Callithrix jacchus: one gene and its partner. The protein of the gene in region 1 purifies or fractionates together with the protein of each later gene. This does not show direct contact. Links are inferred from orthologs where the notes say so. Each region holds a gene or a part of one and is shown in the gene's direction. Other genes may lie near its edges. The genes, in order: MAGEA10 and QSER1.

Region 1 (8,710 bases):
AGCAATCCTGCCAGGAGTCAAGAGAAGGAAGAAGAGAGAGGACTCATGGGAACTTGTAGTCCAGATCAATGGAGACCTCAGCTCTGGGCGGTTTCAAGCACGGTGGCCCATGTGATGTGTCTTTGCTGTGCCTTTGGCGTGTCAATGAGGAGAGGGCAATGGTCTGAGTAGTGGAGTCTCAGGTCAGCAGGGGGAGGAGTCCCAGAACCCTGAGGGAGGACTCAGCAGATCCCTGCATCTCAGAACTAAAAAACTTGTCCCTCTTTTCAGCTCTGGAACCCCAGGCAGGACTGTGAGGAAGGTAAGTAGCCCCCATTTTCTCACCAGGGATCCCAGGGAGATGGTGCCTTGGCGTGCAAGACCCATACACGATTCAGCAGGAGGGAAAGGGCTGGGCTCTGTCAGAGTGAAGCTGAATACTTGGAGGATACCCAAATAGAGGAAGTCCCTGCCCTGTCCCCCTCCCCCTCCCTGCTCCCGCCAAATCCGCTCCTTCTGTCAGCTTTGGGAATCCCATGCAAGTGTGATCATGTGGTGCCTCCTCCCCTATTTCTGCCTCCTCGGTCTCAGGGAGCTGGGGTCCTTGGCCGAAGGGTTGCTAAGAAGTTATCACATGGTTCCACACCTGGTCAACAGAGGGAGGAGTCCCAGAATCTGCAGCAATGTGTGCCCCCTTTGTGAGGACTGGAGGTATCTGCAGCCCAGAAAGAAGGAATGCCACAGAGTCTGACTGTCCCCTGTTCTAAGCTCTGGGGGGTGCTGATCAGGATTGGCACTAAGTGGCCAGCTCACTTTAACTACAGGCAGGAAGTTGAGGAATCCTCAGGGAAATGCAGTCTTGGTTGTAAAGGGGAGATATCAGCTGTGGACACCCCACAGGAGGGATGGGATGTGCCTCATTCTTACTGTTTTTTTTTTTAAATCTCAGGGAGGTGAGAACCTTGCTCTCAGAGTGTGACTCAGGTCAACACAGGGAGCCCCTCTGTGTGACAGACACAGTGGGTGGCAGGATGTGACAAGAGTCCAGGTAAGGAATCTGAGGGAAATTTGAGGGTGCCCCCAGGCTGTAACACAGATGGAGGCCCCACAAAAATCTGCCATGAACCTACTGTCACTCTGGAGAACCTAGTCAGGGCTGTCGGCTGAGGCCCTGTCTTATACAAGGACAGTTGGTCTCTGAGAGGGAGAGGTGTTGGTCTAAGGGGGCCACACTCAGGTCAGCAGAGGGAGGGTCCCAGACCCTGCCAGGAGTCAAGGTGAGGACTGAGGGAACCCCATTTTCCAAACACACAGGACCCAACAACACCCTGACCCTTCTGTCAGCCGTGGGAATTCACAGTGAACTGTGGGTAGTTGGACTCCCCTCACTTCCTCTTTCTATGTCTTCTGTAGATAGGGCCTTGGTTTAGGGAAGTGGCCTCAGGTCAACAAAGGGAGGGTCTGAGGCCCCATCAGGCATCCAGATGAGGACCAAGCAGGCTCCTCACCCAGGACGCATGGACTCAGCTGAATATGGTCACCTCTTGCTGTCCTTTCTGGGAGGACCTCCATAGTTGTGGCTCCACCAGATCTGGGTCCCCTCATGTCTTCTATTTTGTATCAGGGATGTGAGCTTTTGATCTGAGAATTTCTTAGGTCAGCAAAGGGGCAGGGTCCAGGCTCTTCCAGGAGAAAGGTAAGAGCCCTGTGTGAACATAGAGGGGGCTATCCACTCCAGAGTAGTGGGGAACTCACAGAGTCCAGCCCATCCTCCTGACAGCACTCAGAGGCTGGGGCTGTGCTTGCAGCCTGAACTCTGAGGGCTCCTCAGTTCCTTTTTCAGGAGATCCAGGGACTGTGAGGTGAGGCCTTGTTCTAAGACAGTGTTATCAGATCACAGAACAGAGAGGGCCCAGACAGTGCCAGGCTTCAAGGTGAGGTGCATGACCTGAATGTGCACCAAGGACCCCACCTGCTCCATAGCAAAGTGAACCCCACTGCACCAATTCCACCTACCAAACTGCCAGTCCTGGAGCTGTGGCCTCTGCTGGCTGCATCCTGAGGAGCTATCTCTCACTTCCTTCTTCAGGTTCTCAGGGAACAGGGAGACCAAGGGGTCAAGAGCTGTGGAATACCACAAAGCAGCACTGAAGGAGACCTGTAAGTTGGCCTTTGTTAGAACCTCCAGGGTGTGGTTCTCAGCTGTGGTTCTCAGTGGCCACATACATCCTCCCTCTCTCCCCAGGCCTTCGGGTTCCCATCACTCAACTCCTGCCCACACTCCCACCTGCTACACTGACCAGAGTCATCATGCCTCTGGCTCCAAAGCGTCGGCGTCTCATGCCTGAAGAAGACCTTCAATCCCAAAGTGAGACACAGGGCCTCGAGGGTGCACAGGCTCCCCGGGCTGTGGAGGAGGATGCTTCCTCATCCACTTCTACCTGCTCCTCCTCTTTTCCATCCTCTTTTCCCTCCTCCTCCTCTTCCTCCTCCTCCTCCTCCTGCTATCCTCTAATACCAAGCACCTCAGAGGAGGCTTCTGCTGATGATGAGACATCAGATCCTTCCCAGAGTGCTCAGATAGCCTGCTCCTCCCCCTCGATCATTGCGTCCCTTCCATTAGGCCAATCTGATAGCTTTAGCAACCAAGAGGAGGAGAATCCAAGCACCCTACAGGCCCTGCCAGACACTGAGTCTTTATCCAGAAGCGAGATAGATGAAAAGGTGATGAATTTGGTGGAGTTCCTGCTCTTCAAGTATCAAATGAAGGAGCCAATCACAAAGGCAGAAATACTGGAGAATGTCCTAAAAAATTATGAAGACCACTTTCCTGTGATGTTCAGTGAAGCCTCTGAGTGCATGCAGCTGGTCTTTGGCCTTGATATAAAGGAAGTAGACCCCACTGGCCAATCCTTTGTCTTTGTCATCTCCCTGGGCCTTACCTATGATGGGATGCTGAGTGATGTCCAGAGCATGCCAAAGAGTGGCATTCTCATATTTATCCTAAGCATAATCTTCATAGAGGGATACTGCACCCCTGAGAAGGTCATCTGGGAAGCACTGAATATGATGGGGCTGTATGATGGGATGCAACACTTCATTTATGGGGAGCCCAGGAAGCTGCTTACCCAAGATTGGGTGCAGGAAAACTACCTGGAGTACCGGCAGGTGCCCGGCAGTGATCCTGCACAGTATGAATTCCTTTGGGGTCCCAGGGCCCACAATGAACTTAGGAAGATGAGTCTCCTGAAATTTTTGGCCAAGGTAAATGGGAGTGATCCCAGATCCTTCCCACTGTGGTATGAGGAGGCTTTGAAAGATGAGGAAGAGAGAGCCCAGGCCATTGTTGCCACCACAGATGATACTACTGCCATAGCCAGCTTCTCCTATCCTGAATAAAGTCGGATAGACTCTTCACTGTGTGTTCAAAGGGAAGCCAAATACCGCATTATAGCACTCATATGTGGAGTGTTAAAAAATAAGTTGATGTTATGGAAGTAGAGAGTAGATCAGTAGTTACCAGAGACTGGGGAGAAGGAGAAGATAGGCTTGGAAATGATTAGCCAACATGGAAAATTACAACTAAATAGGAGGAATAAGTTTTAGTTTTCTATTGCACAGTAGGATGACTAGTAAACATTAATATATTATGTATTATAACACAGCTCGAAGGAGGGCTCTTCAATATTGTTACCACAAAGAAGTGATAAGTGCATGAGGTGATGATACACTACCTGATTTATTATACTACATATACATGAATCTAAATATCAAATTGTACTTCATAAATATCTATAATTACATGTCATTGTTTTTAATTTATGGAAACAAATGACAAGAGAAGTCAGTGATGTATGTAGTCCAGGGCCAGGTTGAGGCTGAGGAAAATACAGTGCCTAACATCTTTGTCTTACTGTTCTCTTTGGATAACTTGGGGACTTCTTTGCTTTTCTTCTTGGTATTTTATTCTTTTTTTTTTTCAGAGTCTCATTCTGTCACCCATGCAGGAGTGCAGTGGCGCAGTGTCGGCTGACTGCAGCTTCTGCCTCCTTGGTACAAGCGACTCACCTGCCTCAGCCTCTCGAGTAGCTGGGATTATAGGTGCATGCCACCAAACCCGGCTGATTTTTGTTTGTTTGTTTGTTTTTAGTAGAGACAGGGTTTCACCATGTTGGCCAGGCTGGTCTCAATCTCCTGACCTCAGGTAATCCACCCGCCTCAGTCTCCCAAAGTGCTGGGATTACAGGTGTGAGCCACTGCACCCAGACTCTTCTTGGTGTTTTAAAATGTTGTTACTTGTACTAGAATGTTTATGAGTTTCAGAATCTAAAGTCACACATGTATTTCTCTTTATCCAGTTTAAGAAACAGTGTTGCTCTTTTGTAAAACATATTAGGAAACCTTCCATCTTATTTGTAATCTGTAATAAAATAACATGGAATTGGAATAGCAATTTTCTTGGAAATATGAAAAAATATTAGTAAAATAGAGAAAATAATTTTAAGTGTTGGTATTTTTCTTTGTTATTTTTAGTTTATCATCCTGCAAAATTAGAAGTTTTATCCCTGGATCTTGTTGAGTCAAAATTAAACTGTAATAAATGAAACCTTTACTCACTTGTGCATTTCCTCCCCAAATATCCACTGAGCATCTGGTCTATGGAAAGCTATGGGTCTGTAGTGGAAATGCTAAATTAAGCCAGAACCACCTTTACCCATAGGGCAGTAGAATCTAGGGGCTGCAGTCAAGTAATAAGGTGGCGAGATGTGCTCTATGACCTAGAGGAAAGAAAGACAGGGATGAGGGTATTGGGCTGTAGGTAAGAGTAGTCAAGTGTACATCCCCTGAACCAGGACTTTTGGGGCTTTGAGAAACTGCTGTTCCTTCTGGTGAAAATGAATCCAAAGAAGCTGTGTGGTGCCAGACTCAGAGTCTCACATAGTTGAGAGAAAGTCCTGGGATGCAAAACTGCTCTGAGCAGTTCCTTTTGGGTGAACAGAAAGGAGTCTCCACCTGGGGCAGGAATGGAAAGTGTTCTGCACTCTTGTCTCAGTGCAGTTGAACACTGCATAATAACTAGATAATAGATGTCCATATCATATGCAGAGTCTCCTGAGAGATAAGGGTCTCATAATCAATAAGCCTATGAATTGATGCCTAGAAGTGAGCTGACTCCATTAGAGAAACATTTTAATTGGGTTACTTTTAGTGTAATTTGAACAACACTAAGCAAGAGCTAGATTTTGCGTGGTGATGATATGAATGAAAATCATGATTTGGATGGAAAAGAAGCTTGGAGAGCAGGAAGGAGTTGATCCTTGACTCAAATTCCATGAGCTTTGAGCAGCATTCAGCAGGGAGAAACTCCTGCACATGAAAATTTGAAAATATACCCTCTAAGAGGGAAAATCTGCTGAATTTTATATATGAAGCAACATTTGTGACTGATTTGGGGTTCTGTGTCCCATTGAGCTGAATATTCTGAGATATACTGGATAACAATGATAACAAAAATTCCAGAGTAGACTGTGGTAGAATCTGGGGTCAAATGATATCAGAAATAACAGCCCTCTGCCATTCATTAAACTTCTAAATACCCCAGGCCCTGAGCCAGGTGCTTCATTTATTTGCACACACTCCAGTAGTGCCATTGAGCAAGGCTTATCACACTTGCTTCATAGATAAAGAACCCAAGGCTCACAGGGCTTGGGCATTTTCCAGAATCACGTGATTAGTAAGTAACAGGGCTGGAACAAGACTCCTGGTCTGAATTCCTGTAGAGCCCATGCTGTTCCCATGCCTCTCAGCCTGAGGCCGACCTCCTGAGTAGTACTTCGTTTCTATTCTCAGCACTGTACCATGTTTCTCAGGTGACAAAAATAAGGACTCTGAGGCCAACGTAGCAGTAACAGGCCTAGATAAGGTGACAATGAGAATCAAACACCATTTCAGGGTGGCCTGTGGACCTTATTAACCCAGGGAACTCCTGTGTCAATCCCCAGGTTCCTTGAGAGCTGACTCCACCCAGGAGGTGGCATTTCTTTTCAGAACCAGCCCTTTCCCACATCACAGCATCCTTCCCCTGGTTGTCCCCGGTGTTCTCTCCTATCCAAATCTGGAACCTGGTCTGCTGCCTAGCTTGTCACTTTGGTTTCTGCTGGAGGATGTGCCCAGAACACAGTGGAGAAGCCCAGAATCACCTGCTTACCCTGTGATACAGAGCATGCCTACACCCTACAGAAGTACTCTGACTGTTCTGTACCATTCTTGGAAATCCCTCTTATAGCACTTGTCTAACTATCATTGTCCAAAGTCAAATTTATGGTGAAATTTATGTTGAAAGGGATGTTCAACTTGTCCTCTGCTTTCAAATGATTTGGTTAGGAGCCGGGAAGGAGAGTAGACAAAACACCCTCTGCTCACAAGGTACATTGGGAGGATGCAGGGAAGAGCAATTACTAGAGTCCATGAGCAAGACCACATGTCAAACCAAGTCCACAGAGCCCCAGGCAGGCTGGCACTCAGAACTCTGAATCCAGATTTCAGCCCGATGGGAGCAGAGACCTGAGGGAGAGAAGTGGGAAGTGGTGAAGGAGGACGGGACAACAAACAGAGGTACGCTTGGGAAATCTGGACATCATCATCACCAACAGGATGTGGCTATGTGATCTGAATGGGCAGGCCTGTTAGCTGAATGCATCAGCTGCTTGCAAGACACCTTATGCTCATTCAACATTCCCCTCCTTCTGTCAGGAAGAGTATGGCTGGCTCCCTGCATCATTCTGGGTGAGCTATCTCTCTTGACCACTCCAGTGATCCTGCGCACCCTTGCCAGCATCCCAAGGCTGGGAGCTGTCTTTGTGCCTACTGTGGGGCTGGCGTTTTATCCCCTGGGAACCCTTCATAGAGGTTGGGCTATGTGAGTGGGTTGCTGACTGATGACCAACAGCTGAGACTTGCCAGGAATGCCAATGATCATTGGAAGGTGGTGGTAGTATGGCTGCATGGAGGGGAAATTGGAGGAATAGTGCCCCAGGACGAATCAGCTTAGACTCTACGGATGAAGGGCTTCTGTGGACATGCCTTGAAAATGATCCAGCTGGTGTCCCTGACTCAGATGGCCTCCTGTGGCTTCTGAGCTCTTGGCACACAAGGGGACAGGTGACTTGGGGCTGTAATCACTGGCCTGTGTTGCCACCAGAGACTGTCTGGGGTAGAGGGCTGGCCTAAGGTGTGGACATGGGTAAGTTGGATGGAAACCCTGTGGAGATGGTACCTTTCATTGTTAGCTAACAGAATATGTGGGGTCCAATGCAAGAAGCATCACACACCATTCTGTTGGGAGCATCTTTACTTCCGAGACAGTGTTTGGGCCTGAGGAAAAGGCATCTGCAGTTACCCTGTCAGTGGTATTTTCCACAAGAATTCTGAACTGATGCAAGCAAAGGTAAGGGAACTGTGGGTTTCTTCATGGAGGCAGGAGGCTCAGGCAGGGGAAGGTTCCACGCTTTGAGTCAGCAAATTACCATGCCTGGTAATTCATCCATTCATTCAGCAACATTTTGTTGAATACATGTTGAGGAAACATCAGGTAACAAAACAAAGTGGCAAGACCCTTAATCCAGTCTGTGGAGGATAGGGGAGATGATGAGGTGGTACGAGTCACTCATCTGAGCCAGGGAGGCCAGGAAGGCAGAGCCAGACTTGGGAGCAGGCCATGCACAAGAAAGGGAGGAACAGCCTATGACTAGACCATCAAGCTGGCCTTCTATGACACTATCAATCTGGTTTTCTTCTTTGATGCTGCTTGTGGGTAAAAGCAACTGCCACTTTCTGTGCCTAACTGCTTTTGTTAATAGGGAACATGCTCATGGTTGGCAGATGCTCACTTCTGCTCACCTCGAGTCACTTCTACTAAAGGAATGGTTTCACTGTAAAAGCACAGGAAGAAACTTTTGGGAATGATTAATATATTTTGCACATTCACTGTGGTTGTGGTTTCATGGGACTATATATGTGTCAAAACTCTTTGAATTGTTTCTTAGTATTTCAGAGAAAAAGTAAGCAGGAAATCAGGAAGAATATAGAGGACATGATTAAAATAAAAAAAAAAAAAAAAACCACCACATCCAGCAATAGCAGAATAAACATTCCTCTGGAGTGTGCATGAAATATTTACCAAGATAGATGGCATTCTGGGCCATAAAACAAACCTTACAAATTGAAAACATTAGAAATAATAAAAAGCAACTTCTCGAAGATGCTTCTTGAAGACCATAATGTAATTAAGGTCAGAATCAAACACAAAGATAAGTGAAAAAATGCTCATATATTCGAAATTTTAAAATGTGATCCTAAATAACCTATGGATCAAAGATGGAGTCTTAGGAGAATTTTATAATATACATTAAGTTGAATGAAAGTAAAAATATACATACAAAATTTTGAGGGATTCAGCTACAGGAGTCCTTGAGGGAAATGTATAGCATATTTTAAATGTTTATATTAGAAAATGTAAAATCAATAACCAAGACTTCCACCCTACGAAACTAAAGAAAGACAAGTTGAATTTAAAGAAATTGAAGAGGATCCCAAACTTCCACCTCTTCCCTCCTTCCTCCCTCCCCACCATCCTGGATTGCACGCGCACACACACACATACAACACACACACACAACACACACACATCATCATCATCATCATCATCATCATCCTTATCATTTTGCAACAG
Region 2 (9,314 bases), on another chromosome or scaffold:
GTCAATATAAATTGGTTTTGGTGTTATCAGAAATATAGAAAAAAGCTAATCTAAACCTAGGTAATTTATCATAGAAGCTACTTAAAGTTTAAAAATGTTCTAGCCTGTTTTTTTCTCTCTTTTTTTTTTTTTTGAGACAGAGTCTCACTCTGTTACCCAGGCTGCAGTGCAGTGGCACGACCCTGGCTCGCTGCATCCTTTGCCTCCCGAGTTCAAGCGATTCTCCGCCTCAGCCTCCTGAGTAGCTGGGACTACTGGTGCCGCCACCATGCCTGGCTAATTTTTGTATTTTTAGTAGAGACGGGATTTCACCAATCTGGCCAGTCTGGTCTCGAACTCCTGACCTCAGATGATCCATCCACCTCAGCCTCCCAAAGTGTTGGGATTACAGGCGTGAGCCACCGTGCCCAGCCGAGCTTTTTTTTTCAGTTGGAGAAAAGGCATGCACATTTATTAACATTCACATGGGAGAGAATCACAGAGTGATTACTCCCTAGCTTTATTCAAAGTAGAATATCACGTTGAGAACCATTTGGTTATATCTACCTTGGGGGACATTTTTTAATTAATGGTAAAAATATTATACATTTGTTTAACTTTTTCACATCCCAATTTTATGTGAACTGAATGTAAAAGTAAATATTGACTTCAATTAGGTGAAAATGAAGGTCATTATATTGAGTTCAAAATTAAATGACACTAAACTATCGTACTAGTCATCTATTCTTCACTGCCATGTACTTGCAGAAGGATAAAAAAAATTAGAAGCTAGTAAGAAATCCGGTACTAAGAATTTGGTCTCCTGACTTTTAGCCCAGTTTTTGTTTTTGAGATGGAGTCTTGTTCTGTCCCCAAGGCTGAAGTGCAGTGTCGCAATCTCGGCTTACTGCAGTCTACATCTCCTAACTTCAAGAGTTTCTCCTGCCTCAGCCTCCCAAGTAGCTGGGACCACAAGCGTGCACCACCCATATCCGGCTAATTTTTGCATATTCAGTAGAGACGGGGTTTCACCATGTTGGTCAGGCTGGTCTCGAACTCCTGACTTCAAGTGATCCACCTGCTGCAGCCTTCCAAAATGCAGGGATTTACAGGCATGAGCCACGGCACCTGGCCCTAGTTCAGTGTTTTCTACTTAACTGCTGCCTTCAAATAAATGAAATACCATATTTTGTGGAGACAAAGGAACACTTTTAGATAGGTATTTCCTAAAGATTTACTAAATCTTAAAAATTACTAGGTTTGGCTAGTCACTATAGAAATGTCAAACCAGTTCTCTAACAAGATTTCTAATTCTGTTATTAGTTATTCTGATAATTGTCACATAAAGCAATTTGCATTTCTTTCTTTTTTTTTTTTTTGAGACAAGAGTCTCACTCTGTCTCCCAGGCTGGAGTGCTGTGGCACAATCTCTGCCCACTGAAACCCCTGCCTCTCCTGCCTCAGTCTCCGGAATGGCTGGGATTACAGGTGCCCGCCACCACACCTGGCTAATTTTTGTAATTTAATAGAGACGGGGTTTCACCATGTTGGCCAGGCTGGTATTGGACTCCTGACTTCAAGTGATCTGCCTGCCTCTGCCTCCCAAAGTGCTGGGATTACAGGTGTGAACCACCATGCGCAGCCTTAGCAATTTGCATTTCAAAGTCAGATTATATAATATTAAAAGAATGATTTGAAGTAAAACATGACAAATACTAGATTAAGAAAGATTTTCTGTTCTTTATAAATAGTGTGCTTTATCTTGGTGATGTTAGGAGTCCTGAAGCCTTTTCAAGGTAATGATGTGTTCTGCCTTTTTCTGAAATTGGTGTACTTCAGATCATCTTAGGCATCTGTGGTCATTGGAAAGATTTTGATTTTCTTATTTCATCTCCACTGACTTAACGTGTGTTGTTTCCAAATTTAGAACCTTTAGTCTTCTATTTGTTGCAAATAGTAATTCTGGATCCAAAAACGTCAAGTCTGTGCATGTTTTAAATGGAAAACACCAGAGTATATGATAAGGGCACAAATAATCTGAGAAAGGAATGAAGCTAGAATGTCATGGTAGCTCCCTCTGGTAGAAAACGCCAAAAGTGTTATTGTTTCTATCAAATAAAATTTAGTTCCCTCCTACACTTATACTAAGAAGAATTTTGGTTGCCTGTTTTTAAAAAGGTACCATTTTCAGGGCCCCCATACCAGGTACTCGGAAACAATAGATGAGTTTGGAGAAGAGTGGCTTTAAAGGTTGTGACTGTTTATAAAACAGTTGAGCTTATCGAATGAGGACTGTAATCTGAATCGTAAATATAATAGGAGGACTTCAACATTTTTAGTGTCAAAATAATAAATGATTAGGAGCTCAATGTAATTTTTATAAAGTCATAATCAAACTAGTTAAATGTAGCTTTAGGAAGTAAAGTACCATTCAGTTATTGTTTGTAGCTTTTCAGTCAGGCAGGATGATTTGCCAAGTAGGTTAGGCCATAGATATGCCCATGGCTTTTATTTATTTATTTATTTTTTGAGACAGAGTCTTACTCTGTCACCCAGGCTGGAGTGCAGTGGTGTGATATTGGCTCAGTGCAACCTCTGCCTCCTGGGTTCAAGCGATTCTCTTACCTCAGCCTCCTGAATAGTTGGGATTACAGGTATGTACCACCACACCCAACTAATTTTTGTATTTTTAATAGAGATGAGGTTTTGCCATGTTGGCCAGGCTGGTCTTGAACTCCTGGCCTCAAGCAGTTTACCCTTGGCCTTCCAGAGTGCTGGGATTAAAGATACGAGCCACTATGTCTGGCCACCAATGACTTTTAAAGGATGGAGTGGAATTGGTTTTGCCACAGGACCACTGTCAAAAACCCATCATGCTCTGTTTTAGGATCTTATCTTACAAGTACTTGTCAGGCAGTCAAAATAAGCAAGAGAAGTTGTGAAGCCAGAGAAGCACTACAGTGCCACTTCTCTTCTGTCCTCATTTTCACCAGAGGCAGATGATTTCTTTATAGCAAGGCCCAGCCACATTTCAGAGGGCTTTGGTGAAACATACATGTTTCTCTTTGTCCTTCCTTGAAGCCAGAGACACATTACTAGAAAGAACTCTCTGCCCTGTTCAGGGTTCCTAGTGTGGTGTGGTGTTGCTTAAATAAGCAGGTCATAGAGTTGGCTCACTTTCAAGGGATGGGGAAATATATTCCATATCCAATAGGAAGAGCTGCAAAGAACTTGTGACCATGTTTAACTCCCCTGTGTATATATATATATGTGTATGTGTATATAAATATTTACCACATCCCATCAGTACACACACACCCCTCTGCAAACAGGTGTTTGTCCACACACACACATCTAAATTTTAGATAGCTGGAAGTAGTTTAGGTTAGTTTTCTTTTGGTGTCGGTTATTTTGCTTCATTGTTTTACAGAATGCTTTGGAAAGTTTTCCTGAACTAACAATAATTACTCGAGATTCTAAAGCAAAGAGTGGAGGAACTTCTATTTCTAAAATCAAAATGAATGGCAAAGCTTATAACAAGAAAACTCTAAGGACTTCTAAAACAACCATTAAATCTTCACAAGTAAGTGTAATTATTAATGTAACTATACCTTTTCTAATTGTTAATACAATTTGCAATGTAAAACATTGAAACAAGCAAATATTTTATTATGTTGTCATTAAGCGTGAAGGTTTTTCAGGTAAGAATAAGCAGCTCTGGCCTGAGGAACAGGGATGCAGTGTTACTTATTTTTTTTCTGTAGCATAGCATCAGGCATATAATATGTGCTCACAAATTTATTAAATTAACTAATATGGAAGAAATCATCTCATGCTTGTGTTTATATATTTGTAGGTATTTTTATTTTTTTAACCCATCGGATCTCATGTAGTTTTTTTTATTTTTTAAATTGTGTATATTTATTATGTACAAAATGTTTTGAAATATGTATACATTGTGAAATGGCTAATTCAAACCCATTAACATATCTAATACCTGCAATACAAGTATATTTGTAATTGGATATGCAGGCACATAGATAAGTGTGTACAACACATTTCGTAAAAAGATGAAATGTTTATTTCATATCTGCAAAGTCATTAAAATTGGAATTTGCTCATTTTCAAACATAGTATAAATTGTTATAACCTTTTCAGAAAACAGTTTGTCAGCATACCAGCTTCACAGCAAAAATGTATTCAGGGCTGAGCACAGTGGCTTTCAGCACTTTGAGAAGCTGAGACTGGAGGATCACTTGAGCCCAGGTGTTCAAAACCAGCCTTGGCGACAAAGCAAGGCCCCGTGTCTACCCTGAGGGGAGAAAAAAAAATTAGCCAGACATGCTGCCGTGTACCTGTAGTCCTAGCTACTTGTGAAGCTGAGTGGGAGGATCACTTGAGCCCAGGAAATGGAGACTGCAGTGAGCCGTGATTGCACCCCTGCACTTCAGCCTGGGTGACAGAATGAGATACTGTCACAAAAAAAAAAAAAATTGTGCCCCTGCAGTCCAATCCAGATGACAGAATGAGACACTGTCTAAAAATATATGTATATATATATTCCATAGAAACAGATTCACAAATGCATAAAAATACATGTCTTTGCTCATTGTTGAATTGTTTATAAGAGCAATCCAATTATTGCTGTTTGTTAAATAGCCACCAGCGTGGTGTTGGTTAAATAAAGAGCCACCTAATGTCATACTATGTGCTTTTTATAAAGAGATAGATTTGTTCATTCTTTGAAAAAAAAATTCGAGTGCCAACAGTATGCCAAATACTGCTGTACTACAGATACAACAGTGGAAACTGGTTAAAAGTCCCTACCCTCATATAGTTTATATTTGGGGAGGATGGGGAGGGACAGCTATATGTACTAAATGAAAAAATAGCCTATTCTTAGGTCAAAAACAAGTTGGAAGAAAGAAGAAAAGTTGCTGGACAATATGTATAGTATGATTCCCTTCTCATTACAAAAGTAGTGTCATTAACGTACATGTTAGACCTAGGTGGCAAACATTAAAAAATATATAACATGCCATTAACCTTGTTTAGCTCTGAAGCAGATTATAAGGAGCTTTTATTTTATAAATCATCTCATATGTTTATTGTTTAAATTTTCCTGTGATGCTTAAGTTTCAATAATACATATTTATATTCAGGATAAATAATATTTTAAAATATAATCTAAGTTCTTATTTTGAGTCTCTCCATATTAATACAAGTTAATACCTACGCATATTAGTCATTTTTAACATTGCCATTGAGACTTTATTTTCCTCAAAGTGTTCTTACTCAGATACTCCATGAAATCTATCTATAAACTTTTTTCTTTTTATAGGAGTTTGCTGTTGATCCAGAGAAAATACAGTTGTATTCTTTATATCATTCACTCCATCATTATAAATATCATGTTTATCTGATATGTAAGGATGAGGTAATTTCTTCTCATTTATTTAAAAAAGAAATGTATGTTTTTCAGAATATTAAGGAGATTCTAGCTATAGTATTTTTGAATGTTTTAAAGAGAATTGTGAAATACATGTGTGTATATATTTTGCCTATGTATTCTGTAAATAATGACTCGATGATTTGTCATTCTGAGTCTCTGCTATGTTTTGTGCTCAGATTTATGTGAGCCTCACCACCTCTTGTAGGAACTATAGTTGGTAATGTTTTGAAGCTGCTGGTGCTTGCTTTACATCGCCATAATAAATGATGTGTTATTGCATTTTGTTCTCTCACAGTGTATAATGATGTTGCTTTAATTCACTTCAGTCACTGCTTTGATATCTCACTGCCTTATTTATTATTTAGAATGGCCTTATCCCACTTAGTTGCAGGGAAATGGGGTTTTCTGCCTTGGCATGAAAAACTAAAAGTTAAAATTTAATTGTAGCTTTTACATTGTTCAGAGATTATACATGACAATATTATCACCGCATGGATGGGATATAAGCATTAATTTCCACAGACAGGTTAAAGGTTGTAGACAATACTACCTTATTTGACCAGCACTGTCACTTCTTTTAATTAAAAAGGGTTAAGTTGGCCCAAGGCTTTATCTAATGTGTTTGACAGTATTCTGGTATGGAAAGATGCTCATAAATCTAACGTTTGTATAGCAAAGGAGAGAGCAAAGATGGTGATGCAAAATAGGGTGACTGTTTTTGCAATGCTCTAAAATGTAGAATCGGCTCTAAAATTTGTCATTTGGCTTCTAACATAATTGGAAGAAATAGAGAAAGTTTGAAGTACTTTTTCTAGCCTTCCTTTCTGCCCCCTTGGAGCCAAAGATGAAAGTATTAGATCTCACCCAAATTTATGTGAAATCATCATTCTCCATGGATGGGATTAAGAAAAAATAAAATATCAGTACTTGCAGGTGAACTTAAGTATGAAGTGATAAGTACAAGCTAATGTGGCAATTTTCTTTGTTTTAGATTTCTTCGGTGCAGAAAAAAAATGAAGATTTAGGACAGGAGGAAATTGTTCAGCTTTGTATGAAAAATGTAAAATGGGTAGAGGACCTCTTTGAAAAATTTGGAGAACTTCTAAATCATGTACAGCAGAAGTGTTCCTAACTTTTCCACAAAAGTCCCATCTTTTTTATAGCACTAATGAAATCGCAGATGTGGGGTGGTCAAAGATAATCAGCTGTCAAGTAGTGGTCTTCTGCAGGCTGGCCACTTCCATCATGGAACTGTCATCACCACCTCTGCTGAAGGACAGTGGTGCTGCCTTTAGGAAGGAAGTCAGTCCTCTGGAAATGGACTTAAGTCCCACCACATTTTTACCTAATGAATGATTTTTCTATTTTGTAAACCATTGGGTAACTTGAGTTTTATTTTAAGAAACATTTTTTGACAAATGATGAAGCATGCACTAAGTATAATTTTTCTTTATTGCTAGAGAAATAACACTTAAAGTAACGAGTATTAGTTTTTTTTTTCTGACTCTGGCTAAATACCAGAATGACAGAGAAGTGGCAAAAAGCGTATGTCTCCACTCACATCTGGCCACAAAACCAGAAATACTGTACATTATGTAAACAGGTCTGCTGTGATGCGACATCCTGTATAAGAATATCATCAATTTAAAATATAAAATTTGGAAACTATTCTGCTTTACAGACTTCTTTTACTCTTAACATGTTCAGGAAACTGGATGTGGAATTGGTGCAATTCTCTGACTGCTTTTTGTGTCAAATTATATTGTGATAAAAAAAACAATGACATACTATTTTCCCTATTGCAAAGAAAAGTATTTTCATTTATACTCTGTTTTTTCCTTTGGAAATTTTCAATTGTACATTTTATTTCACTAATAGTTGTATTTTTCACAAGGAAAATGCTGTGGTTATAATTATGTTGGATATATCTCTACAACACCTTTTTTTACTTTCAGTAAATCTTTAGTTATATGTTGAATTTCTATTGTGAATTCTATCTTGAGGTAACCATTTTTGTTCATACAGATTTGCTTCAGTGTTATCCAGAATATGCATTCAGTGCTAGATTAGTTTAGCTTTATAAACAGTGCTGTGTTTAACATTGCAGTAATTTTCTAATTCATAAAATAAACTTCTTATTAACTAGCACTTGATTAACTGCTGAGGTAAAAATCTAACTACATTTACATTTTGAAGAATAAAACTGATAATTCGACTATTTGCAGTGTTAAACACAGCGTTCTTAACTCTTAGAACTGGAAGTTGTAGAGCTCTCCTTTTGGTGCCTTTCCAACCTTTATACACACTATTGTAGCTTTCTTAGGTTTGATAGGTAGCATTTCAAGTAGTTTAGCTGAGACAGTGAATGTATTAGGTTCAACATGACCTTGTGTTTTATTTGCGTTTGCCAACAGGATGCCTTATTTGTTTGAGAAAAAGATTTACTAGTGTCATTCTAAACTATCTCCTTTTTTAGGATTCTAAAGAATTTAATCATCATCCTTTTGTTTATTTTACCACCATTTAGTGCCTTAAATCCTATCAAGAAAGCAGTGTTACTGCTCAATGCCCAAATAAGACACATGGCTATTGCTATTGTCTTGATTTTGAATTAACAGGCCAACTTTTTATACTTAAAACCTCAGTAAACTGGCAAAGAATTGAAAATAATGTGACTTGATTTGAGAATAAACATTGTAGTGTTGGGTGAAAAATGAGGATTTGAGTTAAGCTTACATATTTATTTCTGATGGTTATCTTATTAAAAGCAATAATCCTTAATACTGTACTTGCCATTAGACTAGGTACTCAGTAATGGAAGTTTCTCTCAAGGGTTAAATGTTCTATTTTTGAAAGTTTTTAAAAACCTGTTTGGGTGGTTTATTTTGAAAACAAAAGTAACCTATTAGATTCATTTTGCCTAACACATATGAGAGACGCAGAGTGTCAACAGTGGGAGCATCATAAAATGAATTTTCCAAGTGAAGAAGAGTAGGAAGCAGCTGTATTTCTTTCTGATAGTAGTGACTCTGGATAGAATTGATGTCTTTCATTTCCAAAGTGCAGAGTAGGGAACTACATCTCCCAATGTAGCATTGTAAATATATATCTTTATATTACTCTTCCAGCTTACGTTCCTGAGTCATTGATAATTTAAGTATTTTTAAAAGCCACCTTACATTTAGGTAGCTCTTGGAGTGAATGTTTGAATTCACTAGCCACATTTTCTTCATGATATGCCTCTCGGCAAACAAAGATATCTCTTTAAGGTTAATCTTACATTTCCCATAGAAAATAACCTATTTCCTTTTGCACTGCGGTTGCCCTCAAACTGCTTACAGTTGTATTCACTTTAGTACAACAAAGGTTTTTATAATATGGGAGGCCAAGTCTATGGTACTGCCTCAAAGAGACCCTATTGTTTAGCTGCATCATGTTCTCTCATTTGATCCATAGAGCATAGGGAAAGACATCAACCTCAGGCCTTAGAGATAAATGGAAATGTTATTATGACAACCATTCATGAGTTATCACTTTGTATGAATTTAACACAGTCATGCGTTGCTTAACAACAGGGATACATTCTGAGAAATGCATTGTTAGGCAATTCTGTTGTGCAAACATGATAATGTACAAACCTAGATGGTATAGCCTACAACATACCCAGGCTATATAGTAAACCTGTACAGCATGTTACTGTGCTGAATACTGTAGGCAGTTGTAACACAATGGTATTTGTGTATTTAGACATAGAAAAGGGACAGTAAGAATATGGTATTATAATCATATGGGACCACTGTCAAATATGTGGTCTTTGACTAAAAAGTTGTTCTGCAACGCATGACTATAAATACCTAGCTGGTTAGCATTTACATTCCTTGCC

Evidence for each region.
Region 2: the proteins of MAGEA10 (region 1) and QSER1 purify together in Homo sapiens (affinity purification with mass spectrometry; 3 studies listed by BioGRID and IntAct, counting the BioPlex papers as one, with this or other methods). This does not show direct contact. The link is inferred for Callithrix jacchus from reciprocal best matches to the Homo sapiens genes MAGEA10 and QSER1.

Annotation. Positions count from the first base shown.
Region 1 is NC_133524.1:148,401,873-148,410,582, reverse strand, and holds the end of MAGEA10 (melanoma-associated antigen 10), read left to right. Parts: intron 1-270; 5' UTR 271-301; intron 302-928; 5' UTR 929-1,027; intron 1,028-1,994; exon of another isoform or gene 1,995-2,068; 5' UTR 2,069-2,139; intron 2,140-2,224; 5' UTR 2,225-2,289; coding exon 2,290-3,378; 3' UTR 3,379-4,481; downstream 4,482-8,710. UniProt on the Homo sapiens protein: Not known, though may play a role in embryonal development and tumor transformation or aspects of tumor progression.
Region 2 is NC_133511.1:98,338,474-98,347,787, forward strand, and holds the end of QSER1 (glutamine and serine-rich protein 1), read left to right. Parts: intron 1-3,409; coding exon 3,410-3,562; intron 3,563-5,320; coding exon 5,321-5,617; 3' UTR 5,618-6,385; downstream 6,386-9,314. UniProt on the Homo sapiens protein: Plays an essential role in the protection and maintenance of transcriptional and developmental programs.